Drosophila melanogaster: one gene and its partner. The protein of the gene in region 1 interacts with the protein of each later gene in a pairwise test. Each region holds a gene or a part of one and is shown on either strand. Other genes may lie near its edges.

The links.
Region 2: the proteins of CG8195 (region 1) and Nepl5 interact in a two-hybrid assay, tested with the Drosophila melanogaster proteins (one large-scale study listed by BioGRID).

The regions. Positions count from the first base shown.
Region 1 is NT_033778.4:15,558,713-15,572,121, forward strand, and holds CG8195 (uncharacterized protein), read right to left. Parts: upstream 7,090-13,409; 5' UTR 6,862-7,089; intron 6,335-6,861; 5' UTR 6,100-6,334; coding exon 6,010-6,099; intron 5,950-6,009; coding exon 5,809-5,949; intron 5,753-5,808; coding exon 5,699-5,752; intron 5,635-5,698; coding exon 5,031-5,634; intron 4,971-5,030; coding exon 4,559-4,970; intron 4,501-4,558; coding exon 4,452-4,500; 3' UTR 3,985-4,451; downstream 1-3,984. Other genes in the region: CG12963 (uncharacterized protein), read left to right, coding at 3,103-3,512; Flo1 (flotillin 1), read right to left, coding at 7,862-7,879, 8,091-8,255, 8,317-8,460, 8,531-9,001, 9,117-9,128, 9,440-9,794, 10,039-10,114, 10,407-10,458; CG30466 (uncharacterized protein), read left to right, coding at 10,803-10,826, 12,966-13,409; Cdk5 (Cyclin-dependent kinase 5), read right to left, coding at 11,420-11,583, 11,646-12,010, 12,171-12,358, 12,423-12,590.
Region 2 is NT_033779.5:6,376,958-6,389,250, forward strand, and holds Nepl5 (Neprilysin-like 5), read left to right. Parts: upstream 1-4,308; 5' UTR 4,309-4,340; coding exon 4,341-6,395; 3' UTR 6,396-6,462; downstream 6,463-12,293. Other genes in the region: slam (slow as molasses), read left to right, coding at 1-207; DIP-epsilon (Dpr-interacting protein epsilon), read right to left, coding at 1,883-2,070, 2,153-2,323, 3,691-3,833, 8,727-8,877, 8,946-9,074, 9,132-9,290; Nepl6 (Neprilysin-like 6), read right to left, coding at 6,588-8,555.

The DNA of each region.
Region 1 (13,409 bases):
TTCAGCTATATTCGCTGCTTTACGCTTGGCTAAAGTCAATGCCTTATAATGTTCATTTACAATAATGGGTTGTAAGACATGAGAAAGAAGCATTTGGTTATTATTCAATGAGTATAAGAAATTACTTAATTAGGAAGATTTCAAAGTGTCAACTGATTTTTTGAACATGGCATTGAATGAATTTAAAGAGAGAAAATTATGAATATATTTCAATACCAATTTTCCATTCGCAAACTAATCGGTTTTCTAAAATATCATATAACATGTTTTTTTTATTAGACACTTGTTTTTCTTTAAGTATACCATGTACAGATAAAAATTTAAATTAAATCTTATCTACCCCAATCTATTAAATAACAGAAAATCTGATAATCAGAATAGTTCTTGCACTGCAAGAAATTTACAATTGTTTATAAAAAAAAGTTTTCCAAACGATCTATATAATTTTCAAGTGCTTGTAGAAGTATAATCTAGAACATTTGATTTATGTGACATTTGCTTCCTTAATTAGTTTCGCGACTTTCGCCTGTCACGTGCCCGGATGACATTATCCAAAGCGTAATTATGCGCATATCTGTCAGATACAGATACTTTTACAGCTGGCACACAGGTAATAGAACGCCGCCCGACTGAGACAGCGATAGTGGCGAGGCGTATCTTATCGGACTCTGTGCGTCGAGCGCTTATCACATGGCCCTTGACACACCTGTCCGCCGCTCCCGCGATCCGCGCTCTTCCCAGTCGCCGATAAGTCTTGGCCAAAAGCTAGCGACGCGCCATATTATGACAGTTGGCCTAAGGCCTTTTCATGGAGCGAATAACATCGCCGGTGCTCGCGTATCCACGTGGATATACCGAATTTTCGGATCACAAAATGTCGAATATACCGCCGTATTTGGTGTTCTTCTTCCTGGCCTTCATTTCCTGTGCGGTCACCTTCTGCTGCCTGAGATTCTGCATTTGGGTGTGCTTCGAGGCCAGGGATTCCAGGAGTCGCAGACGCCGACATGGTACGCTTCATTCAAAACAAGCCAAATTTGACTTATTTTCGGTGGCTATCGGACGGTATATATATAGATACTTGGCCAATCAGATGGGTTTCTTGGCCCAGATAAGATTAGCTAGAAATTCGTTTTGCAGAGTTCTCAGTTTTAACTCGCCATTCAAGTGATTCGATTGTGTGTTTTTTTCTGGCGGGTATTGACACAATGGATTTTTTTATTTTCTATGTGGGGCTGTTCTTTATCTTCTTCCTGATCATGCCCATGGTCTATTTCGCTCTTCAGGTATCTGTCCACCACATTTTTGAACCTAACTTTAAGCGAGGGATATAAGTTTCCTTCCTTAGTCCTTCACTCATCACTTCTTTGATATTCCCCCAAAAGTTTATACTATGGATTATTCTGAACAAGTGCTGTGGAACCAATCCTCGGGGATTTCAAGATCCGGTAAGACGTAGACGTCGACGACAACGTCAACGCCAGCGTACTGGTATGTATTGATGGCTTGAACTGCCTCTGATGGCTTGATGTATTGATGTATTGACGGTTTTATATATGTATTGACTAACTGATACAAACAGTGACTGTGTGTGGGTGGGTTTGATGATCAAGTGCTACCATAAATCCATAAAGCCTAGAGTGTTTGTTTTGTGGACTTTCGTGATAAGCTGATTTCGAACGTCTTGCTAATATTGCAAATCAGTAACTTTGGGGGGTCAGTCTTTTGGAGAGCTCGTTGCAAAATGGAACTCATAGCCACTTTCTTTTTACGCCTGCTGATCGGCATCGTGGCCTATGCAGCCCTACAGGTGATCCTTAGATTCAGCAAATCCCTTCGATGGTGATTGGTAACCAAGTTCTGTTCTTATTCCCCCAAAGTTCGCTGTTGTTTGGATCTTGAAATGCTGGTGTTATAGACATCGAAACCATCGAATAGATTCTCGTAAGTTACACTGGCTTTGGTTTGTGTGTGCAAACCGCCGGACCGTATATATGGTATATCTGATATATGGAGTAACATTTATGGGGTAATGCCAACCAAACATGGCGGACAATCTAATCTTGGGCGACTAATCAATTGCGTGCTGAACGGCGAACTATGGGTAATACTAGTGTCTACAAAACGCAGTTGGTGGCTGTAGTTCGGCATTGATTCCTGCTCCGCGTCGTTCTAAGTCTCATCATGCACGGATCGGAGCCGACATTGGATTGGGGCAGCGGCTTCGGCCTGCACATAGCCATCTATTTGGCCCTGGTGTTCTTCTTTTTCTGCGTACTACCGCTGGCCTGCTACTACATCCGCGTAGAGAGCCAAACTCTGGCAAAGATCTGCCAGCCGCGATGTCGACGTCAGCAGAGGATTCCAGAGCACCATCGTCAGCGATACGGCATTGAAATTGGTAACGTGTGCCAATCCGAAAGTGGGCAGGAAGCCAATCTAATCGGTTAGGTTCGGGCGATTACTTTTTGGCCAGTCTTCGAGAATTGCGGAATGGGTCTGACAGCTAATCTGAGCGTCGCGCTGGGCTTTGTGTTTTGCATGTTCGCGGTGGCCCAGCTTATATACGTATGTAGTTAATCCTGCAAGCTGAGTTTATCTTAATGGCTTTGAAGTAAAGAAGCCCATAACTGATTTATCTATTTGTTAGCTGGCCAAGCGAATGCACGACTCAAGGATTCGAAATCGTCGCCAGATACAAGCTGGTATGGAACATAGCCCATTTGGGTCACACTGGTAGAAATATTATCCTCAAAAGTGTTTATTGTGTGTGTGAAATTTGGAGTGCTAATATGACTAATCAACTCGTTTTTAGAAGCCCATTTAAAATGTGCTTATCAGGTCGTGTTTAGAGCAGTGTTTCCAATTTTAATTAATTAACGAATAACAAGGTTGTTGTGTGGGTTAATCAAACTGCACATATACAAATATTTCGAAGTGTATAAAACAACTCTCCTTTAAATGACATTACCCAAATATCAATATGATGTAATCAAGTAATCTTTAATTAAATTCTTATCATTCGTCCTATGAGTTTTATATGTTTAAAGACTTCACTATTCACTATTCACTACTCACTTATTTTTCTTAACCTATTTTCAGATCGTAATGTATTCAACGCACAGGAGGATCCTTCATCGAACCGCTATGGCGACATTTTCTTCATCGAACCCGGCAGCGTGGAGGCCAACCGCATTCGCGATCAACTGGAAAAGGATGAAAAGGATTTACCCAGCTACGACGAGGTGATGCGCATGTGTAACCTGACCACTCCCACAGCAGCAGCGGCTGGAATGCCTGTTCCCCAATCGCCCCTCGGTGTACCCAGTCCCATTGGAATCGCGGCACTGCCGGCGCCACCGTATTCGGAGACAGATCCACATTCCTCGTCCGCCGCAGAAGCCACTGTCATCGCAATGGAACCGATGGAGCCATCCACCTCCCGCGCGGCACAGATTCCACCCAGCTCCGGATCTGGTCCTCCTGCTCCATTGCCAACGACAGCGGTGTGATCCGTCGGAGGCATGGATAAATTGGAACTGAAGCATTCGCCGTGCCACTCTGGGCCACACAGATGCCACTTTGTGTGCGCTTTCAGTACAGAAATGAACTTGTGTGATCTTATTGAGTACATACCTATTTAAGTTCTAGACATTAGGAGTCGCATATTGTAAATATATATTTTTAGGACATAGGATGAAAATTAAAGTGAATTATTTAATTGAAAATAATGACTTTTAACTTTGGGAAAGTTCATGATTAAGTACAATATAAAAATCGGTTCTTAATGGTAAAATACAAAATAAATTAGTTCTATGAATCATGAAAAATCAGTTCTTATCAAAAATAAATAAGTTCCATAAAGCATAAACTCAGAAATCGTGTAATCGACATTATTTAAAAATGAAAAAGTAATGGTTTCTAATTTACATACGATTAACCGCTGCCACCGTATGGCTATTAACCTTAGATTCAGCAGATTTTAAAGCTTACGGTAGACAAGTTTTATTTATTGTAATTAGTTATCAATATGTGTATATGTTTTTTCATCTTGTATTGAGAAGTCAACAATTATACAGCTAAGCGCAGTGTGAATACCGAGGAAATAAATTATAGGTGGAGTTCAGCAAAACGTTGTAGACTATCACATAGATAAACGGTATTCGTGGGATCTAAAGCTATTTACAGAGAATAAATACACTTGTAAGATTATAATAAATAGTTGTACGTAAGTTCGCAACACAATAATATCCAACGAAAAATGCACAAATGAGAAACACAAATCAGGGCCGAAGGGAAATTGTGCAGGACTTGTCCCAATATGATTTAAGAACGATTCGAAACGAACTCGTAAACAGCCAAGTTTTAGATTGCATTGCAATGAGCAACATTCAAAGTTTGTAGAAGCCCGACTTTTACAAAAAGCCTCCATTCGTGATTATTGCTATTGTTTAATCGCTGTTGCTTATCAGCGACTCCTGTTGTTCGTCATCGTTGACCCTAGGCAAGAAATTATGCTGTTAAAAGACAGTTCATATTGCCAGAACACCAGACTCACCTAACAATGCTTGGCTTATGGCACCGGCAGACTTTTCTATACACAATCCTAAAGAGCTTCATCAGTGGGTCGGAATCGTCGTTACGCATCAATAGCGAAACGAACACCAGGGCCACAAAGATGGGTATCGAGCCCATGTAGAACATCGGCGAATACGGTTTGTTCTTCAGCAGGACATCGAACAGGATGGCTAGCGGAATCTGTAGCGACATTGCCAGCGTGCCAATCAGTGAGGATGTCAAAAAGCAGCCCCACAGCCAAAGAGCCTCCGACAGCACAGTGCCAACTAAGCCGTTCAAAAATAGAAGGGCAAACTGCCCTTGACTGGGCAGCTCAAAGGTTTCTATTTTGGTGAAGTGGAGGATAAAGAATATTGGCCATAAAAGCAACATATTCCATAGGCCAACAAAACCTAAAAAGGGAGTCAGAAGATAAGCAGCGATCAAACTCAAAATTTAGCAATTTTACTCACCGAAAAACAATGGTATATCGACCTTCTCCTCCGTATCGCTTTTTCGCTTCACGAAAACCAAATAGGCGGCATAGAAGAAAGCGCTGAAAAGGGCTAAAAGGACGCCTCTGGTCATCTTGGTATCGTGTAGGTCGTTCATGGTGATGGCCACCACTCCGCCAATGTTCATGGCCACCGCAATCACCTTGGTGATAGTCAGCTTGTCACCTGTTGCCGAGGGAAATACGGCTGCCAGGCAGATAATGAAGAATGACGATGTTGAGCTAACCAGTGTTATCATGGCCGCCTCGTCCATTTCCAGGGCCAGCTGAAAGAAGTAATTGGCCGCAAACCAGAGCAGACAAAAGAGTAGCGCAGTCTTTGCCGTTTTGTGGTGTGTCTTTTGGCGCCTAATTCTCAAGCTGGCGGCATACGAAAGCCTGGCCATTAAGGCATCGGTGGCTTCGTGGGCAGACATCTCTCTGACTTCGGCCATCTTGCTGAAGCGCACACTTCTTACACTTGAATCATCGCTTTCGGTGCCCGATATGGAGTTTGAGGTGCCATTGGATTGTCCTCCGGCTCCTAAGTGAGGCGATCTGATGGGCACATAGGTTGGGTCTCCCTAGTAGGTATAGACAAAGGTTACATCTTTTTGTACATAATATATGATTGTATGATTTGCCTACCAAAACAGCCTGATTGGAGTAATAATTCTCGTCATCTGCATTCTGCTCCATCATCTAAGGGAAGAAGAATCACTTAGTAGGGTTTATAATTAGGATATCTAATTACTTACAGCATAGTTTCCATTCTGTCGCTCGCATGACTCTTTCCAGGGAGCCAGGATACCGATGACTAGCAGGTAAATGCTGAACATGGAGGTTTTGAAGTATGTGCAGAAGAAGGGCTTGTCAAAATTGGCCTCATTGTACAGGAACTAGTAAAGTATATCAAAATTCAAACCGATTTCCAAATGTTTTCAAAACAAAATTATCACCTTTGTCAGCTCACTGGATGAGACCCAAACCACATCGACTAGTACCAGTATTGATATGCCCAACAGGAGACGTTGTGTGCGACCTAGCATGATTATTCGCCTGTTTTTCGAATGTTTTCCAAACGAACTTAGCTTCTTTTCCCGCCTTTTGGGGGATGTCTTGCTCCTTCGGTTATCCGTTGACAAATAACTATTTACGCTTGTGCCGCCAGCGTTTTAGTTTCATTGTTGCGGTGTCTTTAGGTTCTGCTTTCAAAAGTGATAAAAGGTCCGTGGTCCGTGAATTTTACACAGATAAACCTTGGGCTTTAGGTAGTCATTTTAGCTAGAATGGAAAAATTGGAGGGAGTGTGTGAGTGCATAAAGTTGGTAGGGATCTGCATTTATTGATTTTTTGTTGACGAGTGGGTGCGGCATTATTCAAGGCGCAAATTACTATTTAACACGTTTGAATCGAATCGCTTTTGTTAGGTAGCAGCAATTCGATTAACAAAGCCATCGGTCAATTAACATCTGCTTGAGCAGATATCTCCATCTAATTTGGGATTATCACCGATCGCGGTGATCAGATAAGTATAAACAAATTAGCAAGATTTCGGGGGGACTGACTGATAAGATATGTGGCTTTGAAAACCAATTGTTTGTTGGGTAAATAAGAATACATTTGTCGAGTGTGGAGAGGGGGAGGGTGGGAGTGGGCGGCAGGTTGTTGATAACAGGCCAAAAACAAAATCAATAAACACAGGCAGCGATATGAAGTCTGAAAAAGTCAACAAGTCTACTGGTCATCACTTAATTGTGATATTATCTACAGTTCTGCGGCTATGCTTGACTTATTTATGCAGTTTTTACCACTTGATTCCTCTTTTGAAGGCGGAACTTTTTTCCTTCCCACTGCCGCAATTGTTTTCTTTGTGTTTGTTTTGTTGAGCGGAAACAATATTTATGGTTTTCTATTTTCTAGGATTTGTCTTAACTCAAGTGGGTTTTCAGATTACACTCTTGGGAGTAATGTGCGTTATAATACTGATATTCTGATTATGATTTTTTATCCGCACAGCTGGACAGAGCTGCTATTAGTGATGGTACAACATCAACCTATCGAAACTATCGATGTATTCAACTTCTTATATCGCATCGATTGTTTTTTGCGTCTTGAATATATAATATATATTTTGTGATAACAATGCTATTATATATAAATGCCTACAAATTCTCTTATTCCATTCCTTTTCATAACTTTCACTAAAGCTGAAGTTATCTGAGAGAAGCCAACTTCAATGCTTCATCAGAAACAATTGGCTGATTAATACATTAATAATAATATATTTAAAATTAATAAAACATTATAAAATAACTGAAGACGTATCGTTTATGGATTAATTAAAAGGCATGGCAACGCTGGTTGCCCAACGTATTTATATCAAAAGGTGGCAGCGCATATGCGAAATTGAAAAGTGTGGCAATGTGGAATAACCGCCAAAACCTTTGGTATTTTAAAATTTCAACTTCCTTTATATTTGCCGACCCATTAAAATAAACTCAATTTGTTGATCCAAGGAAGAATATTTATTCCACGCTTTGTGCAATACACTTATATAAATACATTATACATGTAATACAAAATATTTTTGCTCCTCTCTCTGAGTGTGTGTGTAAAACATGTTGCAAAATTTGTCGGGTTAGCACAAAGATTCAATAATATATTAATTATAAAGAAATTTAAATGCGTTCGATTTCAGTTTTGAAGTATTCGATCGTTCAATATAGCGTAATTTCTTTTTTGTTTTCTTATTTTCGTTTTGAAGAGTACATAATTTTGTGTGTTTTTGGTTTTCTTTTGGGTACTTTTTTAGCCAGCATGCACAGACTGAAATGAAGAGAAAGGAAACGTAAAGTGAATCGAAACCAGGGAATTTATATCGCAAAACAAGGCTCAAATCAAACGAAGGTAGCAAACGAAAGCAGCGTCCTCCTGTCTACAAAGTCTTTTGATTGCCATTTGTTTTGGTTTCGATTGCGTCGTCATTCATTCACCTCGACGAGCTCTGAAGTTAGATAAATTCAGAATTGGAACGTACCCGAGCAATGTCCACGCCGGTTATGTTCTTGACCAGCTCTGGCACTTTGTTGACGATCGACAGAACCTCGCCGGTCAGCTTGGCAGCACCGATATCGCCAGTTCCGCTGGACACCATCGTGATCTTCTTAGCCTGTGACAGTGGAGCAGCCACCTCGGCGGCAACCTGCGAATTAGATTCAACATAGAATAAATTATAGATTCTTTTAATCTAACCATTGACAAACCTTTGGCAGTGTGTCCAGGAGCATCTCCACCATGGCAGCCTCACGGTACTCACGATAGGCCTCTGCCTTCATGGCCATCTGCTCGGCCTCTGCTTTAGCCTTGGCCGCAATGGCAAAGGCCTCAGCCTCACCACGAATCCTGATCTGTTGCAAAGAAGATGGAGATGCTTCAGTTAATCGTAGTCTATAAGCAAATATTTAGATGGTATCTAACCGATTCAGCCTCGGCCTCGGCTTCCATGACCACGCGCTGCTTGTTGGCCTCGGCCAATTTCTCCATGCGGAACTTCTCCGCCTCGGCCGGTCGGCGGATGGTGGCCTCCAGCTCTCGCTCGCGGCGCATGATCTCCTGCTCCTGGACGGCAATCTCCTGCGTGCGCTCGATCACCTTCACCTGCATCTGCTCCTCCTTGATGCGCTGCTTGGTCTTGGCCGCTTGCAGCTCGTAGGCCATCTCGGCCTCGGCCTTTTTGGTCTGCACTTCCACATCGTATGCTGCCTTCTTCAGCTCAAAGTCGCGCTGGGCCTTGGCAATATCGGTATCGTTGAGGAAGCGTGCGGCCATGCGTTGCTCCTCGGCAATGGCCTCCTTAATGTGGGCCTCCGCTCGGGCCTCAGCCTCGCCAATGCGGGCATCGCGCTTCACCTCCGCCGTGCGGGCCATACCCAATGACCTCAGGTAGCCCTGAAAATGGAAATTGAACGCGAGGAGTTAGTATCCCGATAGTTACACAAGAAGCTGAATTTGATGGACGTGTCCCAACGATTCCACGCACAGGCGGTTGGGCGGACATACGCACCTTTGAGTCGCCCTACAGAGGATCCATGTGGACATGCAAGAAATATATATATTCACATATATACAAGAGGTTATTTGAAAAAAGGGAGCTTTGAAGCCGGTACACAGTGATGGGAAAATCGAATAAAAAAAAGAAAATCTAAAATAGAAAATAAGTTTGAATATATATAGAATCACTGCAGAATTGCTAAATAAATTTTTGTTCAAGTATACAAAACCAAAACTAATATATATATAAAATACAGAACCTATTCCCATCACTGCTGATGATTGGGTTAGTTGTGCGGGGAGAGTGGTAAAAAGTAATCGGTTGGAACTACGCACCTCCTCATCGCGCAAATCCTTGATGGTGTAGGAAACCACGGTTATTCCCATGTTGGCCAAATCGCTGGAGGCCACCTCAAACACCTGCTTGCTGAACTTCTTGCGGTCCTTGTAGATCTCCTCCACGGTCATCGAACCCATGATGGCACGCTGATGCCCCTCCAGGGTGACCAAGGCGATGTGGTTGATCTCTGCCTCTGATTTGCCCAAGAACTGCTCACAGGCGGTCAGCAGCATGTCCTCGTTCTGACCCTGGACCTTCACCTGTGCAATGCCTGTCACCGAGATGGGCACTCCTTGGCTGGTGTACACGCAAGGACTCTCTACCTGGAGGGTCATCGTGTTCAACGAAATTCTGGGGAAGATTGGCGGACATTTAACATCTGAGGGCTTGTTATCTTAAGACTAGGGACTCAGATACGAAGCCAGAAATATTAACTAAATATTATCTGATAAAATAAGATTATTTTATTATAATTTAATATATTTTAATAAAACCGAATTCTTACGAATAATATTTCGAATACCCGCGCTTTTTAGCGCCTCCCTAACCTGTGGCTTTTCGTTGGAACCCCTGGTCTAAGCCGGTTAAAACTCACCGCTGAACCTGCTGGCCCACTGGCCAAACGAATGCTCGTCCTCCCGGCACCAAAAGCGGCTTCATGTAGCAGCACCCTGCGCAGAAAACAAACAAAAAACACTTTGTTTACAAAACATTGCAGCATTTGGATAACAGCACCGCAACGCCGTTCAAATGCGCACGCATGGCTTCGGACTGCCGCATATTCAGCTTCTTCCCCTGTTATCCCAACAACAACATTTGCGGTACACAAAAATCGATAGTGACGTCACTTGGGGTGGGGTGTATATATATGTGTGTGTGCGTGACAATTTCATTTTTATTCACTGACTTATTTATTTAATCGATTTGACATTATTTTGAGCATATAAGGATCGTGTGATTTACCAGAGACAACTAAAGCCTCGTTGGGGCCGCAGGTTACAAATCCCCAAGTCATTTCTGCAGCACTTATTTGTTATTTATATTAGAAAATGGGTTGCTGCTGATAACAGCTTTTGTTTTATCTGCGCGGTTAACACAGTTTTCCGATTATTAACTATATAGCGAATTATCCGATCCACAGGTAGCCTTGTTTATTCGTCTAATAATATATATAAAAGAATTTCCGAGGTACTCGGTGCTTAAGATTCAGAAATCCGACCGGTTCGGTTAGCAATTCGTAGCACAATAAAAAAATCTCTCAATCTGTAAAGTTCTCAATTTCTAACTCGCGAGTGCGCAGAACGACTTTAACCCCTATTGAGTGCCGGGGGTTGAGGCGACCACTTCAAAATATTCATCATGCTGCGACGACGTAGTGCTGCGGTAAGTGTCTTTATTGGTTTAAAAATCTAGGTTACATCTCAATTTTTTTTATTCTAATTTACTTAATGACTCATATCATTCAGAAAGATCGAAATTCTTAAAAATACACAATAAATGTAATAAGAAAATCGTCGACACTCATTAAATTTGGAAACCAGATGTATTGCCTAGTTTTTAGTCTTTGAAAACAGAAACTAGGATTTCAAATATTTTTTCCACATTCACACAAACAGTAGATATCGTCTAGGAATTTGAACAATTTTCGGATCTTAACGATACACTCAACATAAAAATTTTTAAGAATAAAACTATTTTACTGAATCAATAAGTATTTTATCGATAAATGTTAATTTGGCAGCTCAAATGGCTATATTAAGTGTCACATTGGTAGGGATTGTCATAAATCAAACCTTTTGCTTTGGTAAATCAAACTAATGAAATTATAAAGAACTTTTTATCTTATACTATAATCGAACTCTACTGCAAGGACATACATATATAATTAAAAGATCTTTGCTGGACAAAGTCTCGCATTTTGGCTTAAGTCTAATCAAAGGTCGTGAAAACAGTGGCTTGGAAAGAACCTTCCGACCTCAATGTCCCGAAGAGCTGCTGTCCGTAAAGTAGGGATGCTGCATCGCCGCCTCCGCGCTAATTCGCTGATTTGGCCGGCAGATGAGCAGCTTTTGCAGCAGGTCGCGTCCCTTGGAGTTTAGCCTAGGTACCAGCTGACTCCACGAGGTGATGGCCGGAAAAGCTATAATATAAATAGGCTTTTAATATTGGTATCGATAAATAAAATCCGTCTAGAATCCCTACATGGAAGCGCCACGTAGTCGGAGAGGTGCGAAACTCCTGGCCAGGAGTCCTCGTTGGGGGTGCCCAGCACACGGAAGATCTTCATCAGCTGATCGAGCACGTCAGAGCCAGGAAACAGCGGTCGTCCAGCGTCCGCCAGTTCGGCCAAAATGCATCCAGCGGACCACATGTCTATGCTGGTCGTATAGAGCTTGGCTCCAAATAGGACATCGGGTGGTCGGTACCACAGGGTCACCACTTCTGCGGAGTAGCACTTCACGGGAATGCCAAAGGCTCTAGCGAGACCAAAGTCAGCTAGCTTTAGCTCGCCGTTTTTGTTGATCAGCAGGTTCTGTGGTTTCAGATCGCGATGCAGGACATTATGGCTAAAATAGGATAATGTAGCGTAAGTTAAGTCTCAATGCTATAAAATGGATATCATTCGGAAATGTGCCACAGATGAAGTTACTCCAAATAACACTTGATTCTAACTATAATCGACACAAGATAAGACCTAATCCAGTGCTGATACATATATAGGTATACCTGTGGCAGAATGCCAGTCCGCGGAGCAGTTGGAGCATAAAGCTCCTGCAGACGGCCATGTCGATCTCCCCGTTGAGGCTGTCAAAGTACTTCTTGAGGTCCTGGTCGCAGTGCTCGAAGACCAGGGTGAGTTTCTTGTCCGAGTGCAGGACGTCTATGAGGCGCACAATGTTCTTGTGCTTCAGCTCCTACGGATGGTAATGTGCCGATTTAGTTTATAAACTGGAATCACTTCCTGCTCGTCCGACTGACCTTCAGCAGGCAGATCTCCCGGAGGGCAGAACTGGGCACACCCTCGTCGTCCTCGTCCAGTCGCACCCGTTTCAGGGCCACTATTTCCATGGTGTCGCGGTTGCGACCCTTGAACACCGTGCCGTAGGTGCCCTCCCCGATCTTCTCCATTTTATCGTACTTCTGCATTTTGCTGTGTTTTGGTGTGTATTATTTTGCGTTCAGATGGAAAACTCCGGGGATTATTGTTTTTGCAGTTTGTTTTTGCTGGCCAGGGATTCGTGCGCCTAACAGCACACTGTTATTCGCTTACAGCACGCGGTGACTAACCAACATCGCAGCTGACAGTCTGCTGTCACCAAAAATACTCAAAATTAACAGATATCATTTTAAAAATGTTGATAAAACTTTTGTTATAATTTTATTGTTTTATTTGGACTCGATATTAGCTAAACATACGAATATAGACCGACAATGATAAACACCGATCTTATGGTACCGCAATGCAACAATATAGCAGAAATATAAGTATACAAGTTTCCTAATTTCTTTTGCCCTTTGCAGAATACCAAGCCTGGCTTACTATGTCTGCCCGATGATGTTCTAATGATAATTCTAAGTTATCTCGACTTGAAGACCCAACTAAAACTGAAAGACTTTCATTTCCGGTTTAAGAAATTAATGCCGTATGTGTGGCGTGCTTATAACAAATGTGCATATATATCCTTGATTGAAATGCAGCTGAGCGACAAGGATTTGCTATTCTTCCTGGAAAGTACTCAACAAATCCTCAGCACTCTGCGGCTCAAAATGAATAATAGATCTAACTTCGAAACACTTACCAGCTGTAGTTTTCCAAAACTTAAAGATTTTCGATTTTCCACGCATTCGTTTAACTTAAACGATGCGGACGTGCCAAGAATGTTGAAAACTTTTCCAAATCTGACAACTTTTAGCCCCCATGGAAAGTTTACTGGCAAACACTTTGATGAATTCGAGTTTCTCGAG
Region 2 (12,293 bases), on another chromosome or scaffold:
CCGCAATATGTCCACAAGCTGCGCTCCATCATCCGGGCCATTGACAACATTGGACGCGACGATGGCTTCCGCGGCTGCTCGATGGAGCAGCTCGAGAGCTTCATGTACTTCCTCAGCGAGTATGCGGATGTGTGCCTGGCCAACTGCAGCGAGCACATGGACAAGATTCTCGACACCCTGATGGACCGGAGGGCCGTGGAGGTCTGAGCGATGGTGCTACCTCATCGGGATCTGACTTTATTTTAAGATTTTATAAACAATTAGTTCCTAGACATTAACATATAATGTTACAAAGATTTTAGATAATAAACTTTAAAGAGAAAAGTTAAAGCCATTCAGTGTATTTCCTTGGGCATGCAGAGTCCAACAAAATCAGGGGTTCTGGAGGGCATAGCTCCTTGCTATCCTGCAGACACGTAGGAGTCTGGCAAGCATCACGTTTCCTGCAAGCACATGGTTTCTTTTTCTTGCTCTCATCAAGCAAATGCTCCTGTTGCATCAACTTCAGACATTCCTGGCCAAGGATACCATGTTAGTGCACATCCAGTGGCCAAGGGAATCCGTTTGGGGCCAAAAGGAGTTGCTGGGTTCGGTTCAATAACAATTTCACGTGCAAAAGTGCTGCGCAAACATGGTATCAGAGAAAAGTACTAACTATTAATGCAATAAATGGTTACTTGTTCAACATAAAATAAAAGTCCCGTCGACATTCTTTTGACTTTCAAATAAAAAATAATAGTTATATTTTTGCACAAGTACCACTGGTCAATATCAAGAACCACAGATTACTGAAATAAAAGTCGCTTAAGTTTTAAGAAGCAATCCCAAATACATAGATATTTTATTTGTTTCTTTCGCAGTGCCAGTTTGTTCCGCTCGGGGAGCAAGTTAATAAATATACATTATCACTCTTATCGTTAAGAAACACAAACTAAGGCCTATGATATATGTAGGTATTTAAATATATATATATATATGTATTTCTGTATGAGTAGTTTAGAACTTACATATTTGGATTTGGCTTTATTTGGATTATTTCTCAACTGTAAACCCGTCTTAACTGATCAGCTAACTAAATTATGTATCAACAGTTTTCGCTTCAATCGTGAATATTCGTAATTCATATTTGCTTAGTTACTTATTTAGGTTAATGGTTTTTGATTAATGCATTTTAGGTGCCTGTTTTTCAGAGTATTTAAGCCTTTCGCTTTCCCGTTAAATATCTAGTTTTGAAATGGTTTGATGCCTACTCTCGTACAAATGAACATTCATTTCTAGTGCCTATAACGAGTACATAATTTACAATTGCATTTGGGGTTTTATCCATGCATATACGCGCTTATTTACAGTTGGAGGTGAGTGAGTAGTGCTCTCTTTTTAACAATTTGGCATCATTCGAAGGGTATACTATTTTTTCCCACTTGTATTTATGCAAATTAATTGATTTTATATCTAACTAACCAGGATTTATGTGCTTTGGTTTGCATCGCATGTTTGCTTTGGCCCTGCCGAAATGCTTTTTACAACATTCTTCGCATACCCTCACCGATGGTATAGTGGTTTTAAAACCAAACGAATTTTTAGAAAATATTTTAGAGTGCTTCCGAACGAATGGTAAACAAATATGCGAGGTTGATTAATTTGGTAACTTTGTTTGCCTAAAAACACGCTGTGGTTTTCGCCACCAAACGTAATCAAATATTAATGGGCTGCATAGGGAGTTTCGGGGAAAACCAAAGCTTGACTTCGTTAACGTTTGCAAATTGCAATTCGCTTAATTAATTACACAGTTGTTATGGCTAATCGTATGCATCGGCTTCGAACACCTTTCATTTCGACTGTTTGTAATGGCACTTTATTAAAATGGAATCGCACATAGTTCTCAACCACACGAGTGTGTCGTCAGCAGTGCGAGGATGCAGCAGATGAGGGGCCAACTGGACGCCATTAGGTTGCCATGACTCCCGCTGCTCTTGCCCTTGGACCAATCGAATCCCTTGGGACTGCTGCCCGTCAGCTTCTGCTTCGACTTGTCGATCTCGTTCAGATTCGATAGGTATTTAATGCTCGCTGCAATTGATAATGAAAAGTGCAACGTGTTCATTTGTTCTGCCAACATCAACATCCTATGCATTTTTTGGGCACTACTCACATTTGCCGGACGCAATCACCGAATTTGTGGGTCCTTCGCCCACAATGCCAATGCCATTGCCATTCAGGGGCGTGTTGATGTAGCCGTCCAGTGCGATTTCCGCCGCGGTTGTTGTCGTCCGCCGCAGCGTTGTGGTTGTGGGCGGCGGTTGTGTTGTCGGCGGACTCGACACTACACGTAGAGAAATATTGGCGTACATGAGTGGTAGAAATAATTCAATAAATAGAAGCTATCGCAAAGTGGAACTTTAAAGGAAGTGTAACGCTACATGTCAGAAATGAATCCTTTTTCTTTTATACATTTTTTTTGCATTATTTTATCTACTTTCTGTCAGTGTAGTAATTAAAATAAGGGGTAAGAGCGTGATGTCTGCGCCAAAAAACGGTACCGAACAAAAGTGGATTGCTCAATCGGAAACAATCCATAAACAACTTAAATTAACTGTGAGTTATAAGCCAGTCCTGCCCCAAAAATGTGCGCCCCATCAGTGCCGAAACTCCTTTGCTCGATTTCTAAACAGATATTTTCGGTTACCCAGCCGCATTGTCTTCACTTATCAGCCATCGTAAATTCAGTGCAATCCCTTTTGCCCGCCCTTCCCCCCCGATTCTTTTCAATTTCTTGGCCATCTCCCCGGGGAGGATTAACAACTCTCGGTTCCTTTTCTCGGCTGGCTGCCCTCCGTTGGCATTATTGAAGACAATTTGTAGAGGAAATTTATTGGGCTTGACACTTGGCCTTGCCTCGGCTGGGAATCACGAAACTATAGCCCACTCCAATGCCTGGTTGATGTCGCCTTTCTGCGACTGTATCGCCTCCTGACCACTCAATAAAATTGTCACAGGTTCATTGTTCTCATTGTCGGAGCTGCCCCTTCTATTATCGATGCGGCCATTGTTACCTTTAATTGGTAGAATGACGCCCACTTTTCGATGGGCTACACAGGCCATTGTTGTGGCAGCAGAATGAAAACCGTGTATATATAAATTAAGTTGTCTTTTCACATTCGCCATTCTTGGTGGCGTTGGGCTCTTGTCACCACCTCACAACCTCACCACCAACAAGCGGGCATTTTATTTTGTTTTATGAACTTTTGTAATCGGAATCGCTGCTGCCGAGCTGAGCTTTAATGGCCCAAACAGTGACTGGGGAGTAATTTAGCAAATTGACACAATATTGACACTTTATTGACACTACAGTGGCTCTAATTGCCGGTTGTGAGGATTGCGCATACGCCCCGTTGACGGCGGCAAGGATATGAAGAAAAACGTCGGTGAGACAAATTAAACGCGTCATTTCCTTATTAAATATCAAAATCTAATCTTGCTGTATATTAAAAAGTATTTGGGCACCAAAAATCCTGATAAAATGAACAGTACAATCTGCTTCCTTTGGAATCAAGGAACTGTCGGAGTTTCAAGTTTAAAGACCCCCCAAAATACTGGCGCCCATTTAAAAAGGGGTGTACATATACATTTGCCTATGACAGTGGCGCAATATCAAAGGGTATAAATAACACATATAGCCTAGTCACTTACTGTACAGCTTTATGTTGCCGTCCATGTCGCCCCGAGGATTTTTGGCGACGCACTTGTAGTTGCCATAATCGCTGCTCTGAACGTTGGTAATCGTGAGCCGCATGGTCGCCTTGTACGACGGATGGCCGGGAATGGTTTCGGTTCTGAAAGTGGAGAGACGGAGGCATCAGCGTGAGGCAAGTTCAATGACAGCCATTGTGCTCATTGTGGGTCAGTTCCACAACAGCCCACAATCGGGTATCAAGGCCAAGGTGAAACTGATAAGCGCGCACTTATGTCTAATCAAAATGCGACCTAGCCTACAAAGTACAGTGGCTCCAGGTACTGAAGATCCAATTTAAAGTCAAATATTATAATATCTTACGAGTGTTTAATGCTTTGAAGAATATGCCACCAAATGGGGTATAAAGTACGTTCTAGGATCATGTTCTTCGAACTTTGAACCTATTAAAGCATTTTTGTTAATTATCACCTTTGCCTGAAAATAGAAAGGTCAAGTGGTCAAGTACTGGGTGTGTATATATAGCTAGGATCCACTGCTCCTCCCACGATGATGACTGACAGGCGATGGGCCTGCTCTAGTCCGCAGTCTCCGCGATCCGGGCAAATCGTAGTCCGGCCAGTTGCAATTTGTCACAGTCGAAACCATCATGCTGAAGCTAAGCCTAGTGGCCTGGCTCATATTTTCGCTGGCTTGGCGCACCACGCCCACCGCCTGTCGCCAGACCAACGCACCCCAGAGCGTTCAGGAAATGCTGGCCGAGCAGCTGCAAAGCTACATGGATACGAAGGCGCGTCCCTGCGAGAACTTCTACCAGTACGCCTGCGGCAACTGGCAGATCCAGCAGCAGGAGCAGCACTCCCTGCGCGACAGAGATTGGACGAGGGATCGGCAGCGGTACCAGGGTCAGATGCTGCCCACCGACACCCTGGGACTGATAGACCACTCCGTGAATCGGAAGCTGGAGCTGCTGCTGCGGCGAAGGAATGAGAGCTCCTTCGAGTCGGACTCCTCGATTCTGGAGCAGATGCGACTCTACTACCGTTCGTGCAAACGCCTTAAGCCGTACAACCTCAAGAAGTACCTGCAGCTCCTGCCCCCCAGCAACTCCACGCAGTGGCCATCGGTGGGTCGGGGCTGGCGTCCGGAGCGGTTCGACTGGATAACGACCTTGGGGCGACTGCGTCTGCACGGACTGAACGGGGTGCTGCTGCGGGAGGAGGTACTGCCGCGATGGGATGACTCTCGCAACTACAGTATCTATGTGAACAAGCCGAGTCGCCAGGAGACGCAGCCCATGGGAGAAGGTGCCATGATCGAGCTGCTTCTGGACATTGGGCAGACAAAGCGAACGGCCAATGCCTTGGCTCGCCAGGTGGACGACTTCGAACGAAAATTGCACCGCCTGCAGGAGCTGGAGGACGACGAAGGACCACGAGAAATGCAGCTTGGTTACTTGGACTCGTACCTGCCACAGCTACGATGGTTATCCTTCATGCGCCAGGTACGCATTGACTCCGAGCTGGATCTGCGCTCCACATTAATCATCGAGAATATTCCGTACCTCAGGGCCCTGAGCGATCTGATGGAATCGGAGAGCCCGGACACCGTTTGCAGCTACATCATGCTCAAGTGGTTGGCCTTCCTCAAGCAACAGGGACCCGCGGACATCTCACGAGGTGAGTGCGTGGCCGCCCTCAGAAGAGCCATGCCTCTGGCCAGTAGCTGGCTGGTGGGTCAGCAGTTCTCCGATCCGGAATCCGAATCCTACGTAAGCTCACTGTTCCAGCGTTTGAAGGTGCGATTTGGCCAAATCTTGGCTGAGAACCGAATGAGACTATCGCCACCACTGGTGCACATCCTGCAGCAGAAACTGCGCGCAGTTCGACTGCAGATGGGCTTCTTTCAGACGGAGGAAATTGAGGATGTGGAGCAGTACCACGTCCGCATCGACCTGAGCGGCCACTCCTTCTATGGCAACCAGCTGGTCTTGCTGCGACAACGCGTTGAGGCGAACCACGATCTGCTTTACATAAATGTGACAAACTTCGCAAATTCCACGGGGAGCAACTTGAGTTACCTGTCGGAAAGCTGGGAGGCCAGCAACTCGTCGCCCCTGTATGTGAGACCACGCAATCTGGTCCTGGTGCCGCACGGTCTGCTCCAGCTGCCCATCTGGCATCGAAACATTAGCGCCCTGCAGCAGCACGCCGTGATGGGATTTGTCCTGGCCCACGAGCTGGCACACGGATTCGATATGTTGGGAATGGACTACGACGCCATGGGAAACATCATGGGGCCCGTGGAGGAGATCGGCGCTAGCCGTCAGTTCCGACAAGGACTCCAGTGTCTTCAGCAACAGATGGCCACCGGTTCCAAGTGGATCGACGAAAAGCTGGCCGACTTTGTGGCTCTGCGTCTAGCGTATGAGACCTTTTTCGGGGTGCGGGACAAGCGGGAGCCCAGGGATCCTCTGCTGCCGCAGTTCAGCCAGCGGCAGCTATTCTTCATCACCTTCGCCCAGTTCTTTTGCGGCCGGACGCCCGTGCTCAGTCCGCGATCTCAGTCGGAGGCTCATTTGAAGCACGCCGCGGATGAGTTGCGTGTGATGCAGACGCTGGCCAATTTTGAAGAGTTCTCTAGGGAGTTCGGGTGCGATAAGAAGGCCAAGATGCAGGCCAGCCAGCGGTGCCGCATCTGGTAATAGTTCTCTTTCCATCTCTCCCACAGGACATGGCAGGATCCAGTGATGAATAAATAAAATCTCACCTAACGAAGAGTTTTTTAAATGTGAGTGAGTAACTCGATGGGGTAGTGAACTCTTTTCAGATCCATCTAGTTTATTGTTTAATATAGTTTTATACACTAGTAGATTTCAAGCACTACTTGAATCCAGTTACCACAGTTGGCACTTTTCAGGCTGATTGCTCTTTGCTGGACAACCAAAAGCTTCGTGAAACGGCGCGAACCCATTGAGCATTTGCTGCAGACGCGTCTCGTCGTTGTCGTGACCAACGAAGTTTATTGGATCACCATCGCCGCAGAAGAACTGTGCCAGATTGAGGAAGAAGATTTGTTGCGGCGGAATGGTCGTAAAATCGGTTAGACTCATTTGCGAGCTGTTCTGGAAGTAGGTGGAATAGGCCAGATCCAGTCCAGCAATGTCTGCAATACGCTCGTCCAGATACTGTGTACTGTTCCGGTTCAGGCACTGTAAACCCGCCACAAAGCGTGGCGAACTGGATATCTGCGGTCCGATTTCGTGTATGTTCCCATATCTGTCATAATAAAGACCCACGGTGTCGACTGAGTGCATCAACTCATGGGCAAGTACGAATCCCAACAGGCTGTACTTGAATATGTCGTGGCTATCCGCTGCAAAGAATGGCTCCTGTAGAAGTCCGTGTGGCACAACGATGATGTTTAGTCGCATTAGGTAGTAGGGTCCGGAGCTCATGGCCGTTTTAGGATCCGACAAGTAGAAGAACTCATCGGGTGTCGGAGCACTTTGGTTAAGTTGTAAAACCTGCTTTCTGGTGCGGAACTCCAGCAGGTTAAGATGTTCACGTGCGTAGTCGAAATCAGGGAGCGGAAAGACAAGATCCTCATAGTGCCGGCTGACAAAGCTACGATGGTCACGACCTCTTGGCAAATTCCCAATATTGAGAACGACATGCTGAGCTTTTGTGGCAACCATACTGTTCTGCTCACTGGTTAGCCCAAGGCGATTCTCATTGATTTGCAGTAGAAACTGCCGGCGCAGCTGTTCAAAGACCTTCGTAACTTCCTGGGTGTACTGCTGTAGTGTCGCAGGGTCCAGGAAGCGCTCCTTGTAGAGCAGGTTCGATGCCAGATTCATGTTGCGGCGCATATCCGTGACGCAATCAATGTGCTCATTGCTGTCAATAAAGTCGTCTATGAGGTAGAGCACGAATCGGGTCATGATGTAGTTGGCCACCACCTCGGCGTCCGTGGAGTCCATCAGCCGCTTAAGGCCCGTGAAGTACTTTGCATTCTGCGCCTGCATCACGTAGTGATGTGAGACACTATGGCCAACTATTGACTCGACGAAACCCTGCCATGCGTAGCCGGTTTTGTACTCCCACTGGCGCAAAGTCCAAGTCTCGCTTTCATCATCGTCGTCCACTTCGGTTAGGACGCGTATGGCGGACTCTAGCCTTCTGATCTTCCGCACAAGGGGTAATATGCTTTTCGTCGGCACACCAATGATCTGGAGAGTGGCGAGGGTACTTAGAAAACCGCCCAGGTGCTGCGCGTCCCCTTCGAGACTAGGCATACTGATGTCCAGTCGGAAGCGGTTACTGTTCTCAGAGCTCCGTAAGACCAACACGTTCACCAAAACATTGGTAAACCCATAGCGGTATAGGTGTCCCAAGGACTTCATCCACTTGAATTGAGCCTTTGGCCATGGCTCGCCGCGGGGCATAAACTGGGGCCATGTAAGTGCCTGGCCAGGAGGGGCTAGTCTAAGGTAGTGCTCCATCTTGCGTGTACTCGGCGGAGCTTCACGGCAGGTGCGGTAGAAGTGCAAGACCTTGGCCTCCACACTGGACTCGTTGAAGCCGGGTGACTGGGAGCGCTGGTGCAGCTCGTGCATCAGTTGGACTAGGTTTCCGTTCACCTTGTGGTCCAGCATCTGGATGATCTCCGTGAAGGGATCGTCGCGGTGACGTACTGCGTACTTGCCGCAGGCATATTGAAAGTAGGTGCCGCACGCACTGGAATCCTCCGCCACGTAGCTGAGGATGTTGTTCATTAGCCGTGAATTGGGATCCGCCTCGACATTCTGGGTTGTTGGAGCAGCGCAAATAGGAACAATAAACAGGCAGGCAATCAACCACATCGCAGACAGCAAACTGAGCCGAGATCCCAGATTGCTGGAAGCGACTGGCCGCGGAACGTCGACATATCAGCGAAATATAATGTGCCCACAGCTGATAATCCAGCCAAGAGATAACCCAAAACATCCTCAATCGAGAGGTGAAAAGACAATAGCACGATGACTTCAACTTACTTGTACTTTGATGACTCAGTGATCATTTGATCGTTTTCGCGCGTCCAATAGTTAAGTGAGGTCGGATTCGCCTCGATGAAGCATTCCAGGGTGATGTTGAATCCAATGGGAATACCCACCAGCTGATGCGGTATCCAGACCATGGGCGAAACTGAAACGAAATATATATATATATGAATATAAGAAAACCCAACTAAGTCCGGATATCAATTGACTTACAGTCCACGCTGACTTTGATCCGCTTGGACACACTTGGCGGCACACCATTCGATGCGATGCACAGGTAGGCGCCCATGTGCAGTCGCGAAATCCGCTCCAGCTCCAGGGAATCCGTCTCCAAGTCGTGCACTGCAATCATTTCTGGGTAAATGGCAAGCCAGAGGCTGGTCTAAGGATTGGACTCACCCTCGAGCGTCTTGTTAATAACGATTTTGTTGCCGTCATCGCGTTTCCATTTGATGGTCGGCTCCGGACTACCTTTCGCCTTGCAGCGTAGCGTAACGTTATCGCCCTCGCGCACGATGATGTCACTGGAGGTCAGAGCGTCGTCTATATTCGGCGGCACTATTGGATGGAGAGAGCGAGAGGCGGACATTAGGAGAGTATTTTACCCAAAAACTACACGGAACCGTGCAAAGCTCGATTTAAATGCAAAGGACAGAAGTGAAAAGTTCCACTTTCATGTAAATGTCGTTGCCAAGAAAGCGGAAACCGGTGAAAAACACTCCTAGGACTACAGAGACATGGGAATACCCTTTCAAAGAGAAGCACTTGTAATGCTAATAACTGGCTTATCAAAGCTACCCCCAGACAAGTTGGACTTCCCCAAGGCAGTTAGGAAGTGGAAAAAAAAGGAACATTTCACGCATTGTTGACTCCAATGCGCTCACTCCCCAGTGAGTTCTTGTTCTACTCACAGTCACTGCGTAACTTTAAGCCTAATTAGCTTTGCATCCAGATTCAGATTTGAAGTCCGTTTGAAATCCGTTGCTCCTGGCGAAATAAGGAATCATTCTGTTAATTCAAAAATCGATGCGGCAACCTTCATCAAGTTGTCATCAGGTTTCACTTCCCTTGCCATTCACTTTGTTTGAGGGATTTTTTCAATCTTCCGGGAAACTCTTTTGTATTTGGTCGAAAATCCCAGAAAATCTTTAATGAAAAATCTATGCAAATCACAGGGAAGCATGGAAAAGGTCATGGAATGGACAGCATACCGCACTGGCTTAATATCTGGCAATGCACACTGGTTCCAACCCGAAGTTAGCTGCGATAAATTACCATTCTTTTTCAAATGTATCTTATTTAAATGGAGTGTTTACCAGAACTTGGAGTTGGTAGTTGGAGCTGTGTTAGTTGTGTACATTTGTTAGCTTTGACAGTTGTTTTTTTTTATAAATTTCTAAAGTTGCCTGAAATGCAGTTTTCCATTCCAACAAAAAATCATAAATTTTATTTGCTCCTGCAATTTTCCGGGGGTCAAGGCCAGGTCTTCCATGACAGGTCACGTATTTGCAGTGACCTGTCGCCATTCATTCTGAATTGGACAGCTAATCAATGGCAGTCGGGTCAGCAAATGTCTGGTTTTCGGCACACGTTTTTAATTGATGGAACTGGAGGCCACGGGGCTATAAATATATATATACATATATTGTTCGCGTATCATTGCATCGTGGGGATTAACATTAATGGCCAGGTTATCTTGTCGTCGTAGAAAGTTGCCTTTCATAAGGAAAAACCCCTGTTTCAACTTTTCCCATCCGAGCACTATGGTAACCGTAGGGGGAAAAAAGCGTAATTAAAAGAAAAAACTTTTCAAAAGTTTCGCCCTTTTACCTTTTCTTTTCTCATGCCCAATAATGACCAAAAAACTTTTTGCCAAAGCTTTATTTCATGCTATTAATAAACGCTTGATGTGCTAATCGCCGGACAAACCAGGACAGATCCAGGACAGCACCAGGATGAAAAAAAAAAGTGGTGGCCCAACTTGGTGACCCAGCAGATGTTGTTCCCTTTGCTTTTGACATATTAGTTTCTTATTGATATTTTTAGCAGCTGCCGACATTGCGCAAACTTTGGACCCTAAACCAAGAAACTTTCTTTCTCGACATACATATGTGCATGTGAAATTTAATTAGTGGTGCAAGTGCTGGACACGAATTTCTATCGCTTATTACATAATGCGTCAATTGGTGTTTTTGGCTTAGCACTTCGCTTAGCAAGACCATCATGCGCTGCAAAATCCTTATAAACTTTTTAATTGATGTGTTTGGAAAGTTTTTAGTTATTTATCTTTTTTTGCTAGCTTAAAACGATAATGGCATTAGACAAGAATAATTCATTTTAATTTGCCGTTTTTTAATATTTAGTATCTTGTTTTATTTTCAGTACTTTTCAGTTTAAATTTAATATAAATTTTGACAGTTCTATACAGTAGCTTATGACCAGGTTAAGGTAATGTCCATTGGATACTGTTGCCTATTTTGTGGCTCCCAGTTTAGCGGCTATTTCTGTTATTTGTTACCTTAGCACATTGTAATATTGCTTTCGTACCGCACCGATGTCAACAAAATAATTGAATTTAATAAATGGCCTCATTATGTGAACATAAATGAGAATATATGTATGCGGCAGACGCGCAAAGAACACCCCGTATCCACATCCACATCCTCGTGCCCATTCCCGTCCAGCTCGTAATTGTTGGTGTTTGTTATTTTGCTTCGGTTACAAGCTGCATTTGCTGCTACTTTCGCAATGTGCGGTAATTTGGCGGGAAAAAAGGGGAGCAACTATGGGGGTCCTGCTGCTGCTCCTGCTGCTCCTGATGCTCCGTGCCCAGTTTGCATCAGGCGGCACAGCATCAGAGGATGGACAACAGCAGGCTGCCATCGGCATCACCAACGCCATCGCCATCGCTGGCGCATTTAAATGCATTCTGTGTGCATGGGCCATAAATTCGGGCGCATTTAATGTTTGTTTTTGCATGCTCAAGCCACAAATTTCTGCGTAGCCTCCGTGATGTCTGTGGATTTTATTCCGCGCATCGCATTCGAGTCAGCAAATTAAATTCACAAATGTTGCACTACCAAAAATAAATTTATTTATTTACTCATTTGCCCGACAACGTTTTCACGTTTGTTTTCCCCCCCTCAATATACGCACGACAAATGCATCATTTTAATTTCGTTTTATGTTTGTCGCTAAATGTAATTAAGAGTATGTTATGTTTTTATTGCGTTTTTCTTTCGCATACAGCATACCTGTTACTAGTTGGAGTATGTTGGCTATTTTGAAAATAACTATACATACATAAATAGATAGATTAAGCTTTCCAAAACCAATGCAATAAAGTTTGTGTCCAAAATCACTGAAAAATACAGAAATTTGCTTGAAATTCACACGCATTCAGTTTACAGAGTAGCAGGTATCTGTTATTCGACGCGATCTAACTAAATCGTTCCTCTTGTTTAGTTTTGTTAAATCGAGGTGCGCCAGTTTGGCGTTTCCGATTTTTATTTAGACCAGTGCGCACCATTTAGTTTTATAGCAATTAATTCGATTTGTTAT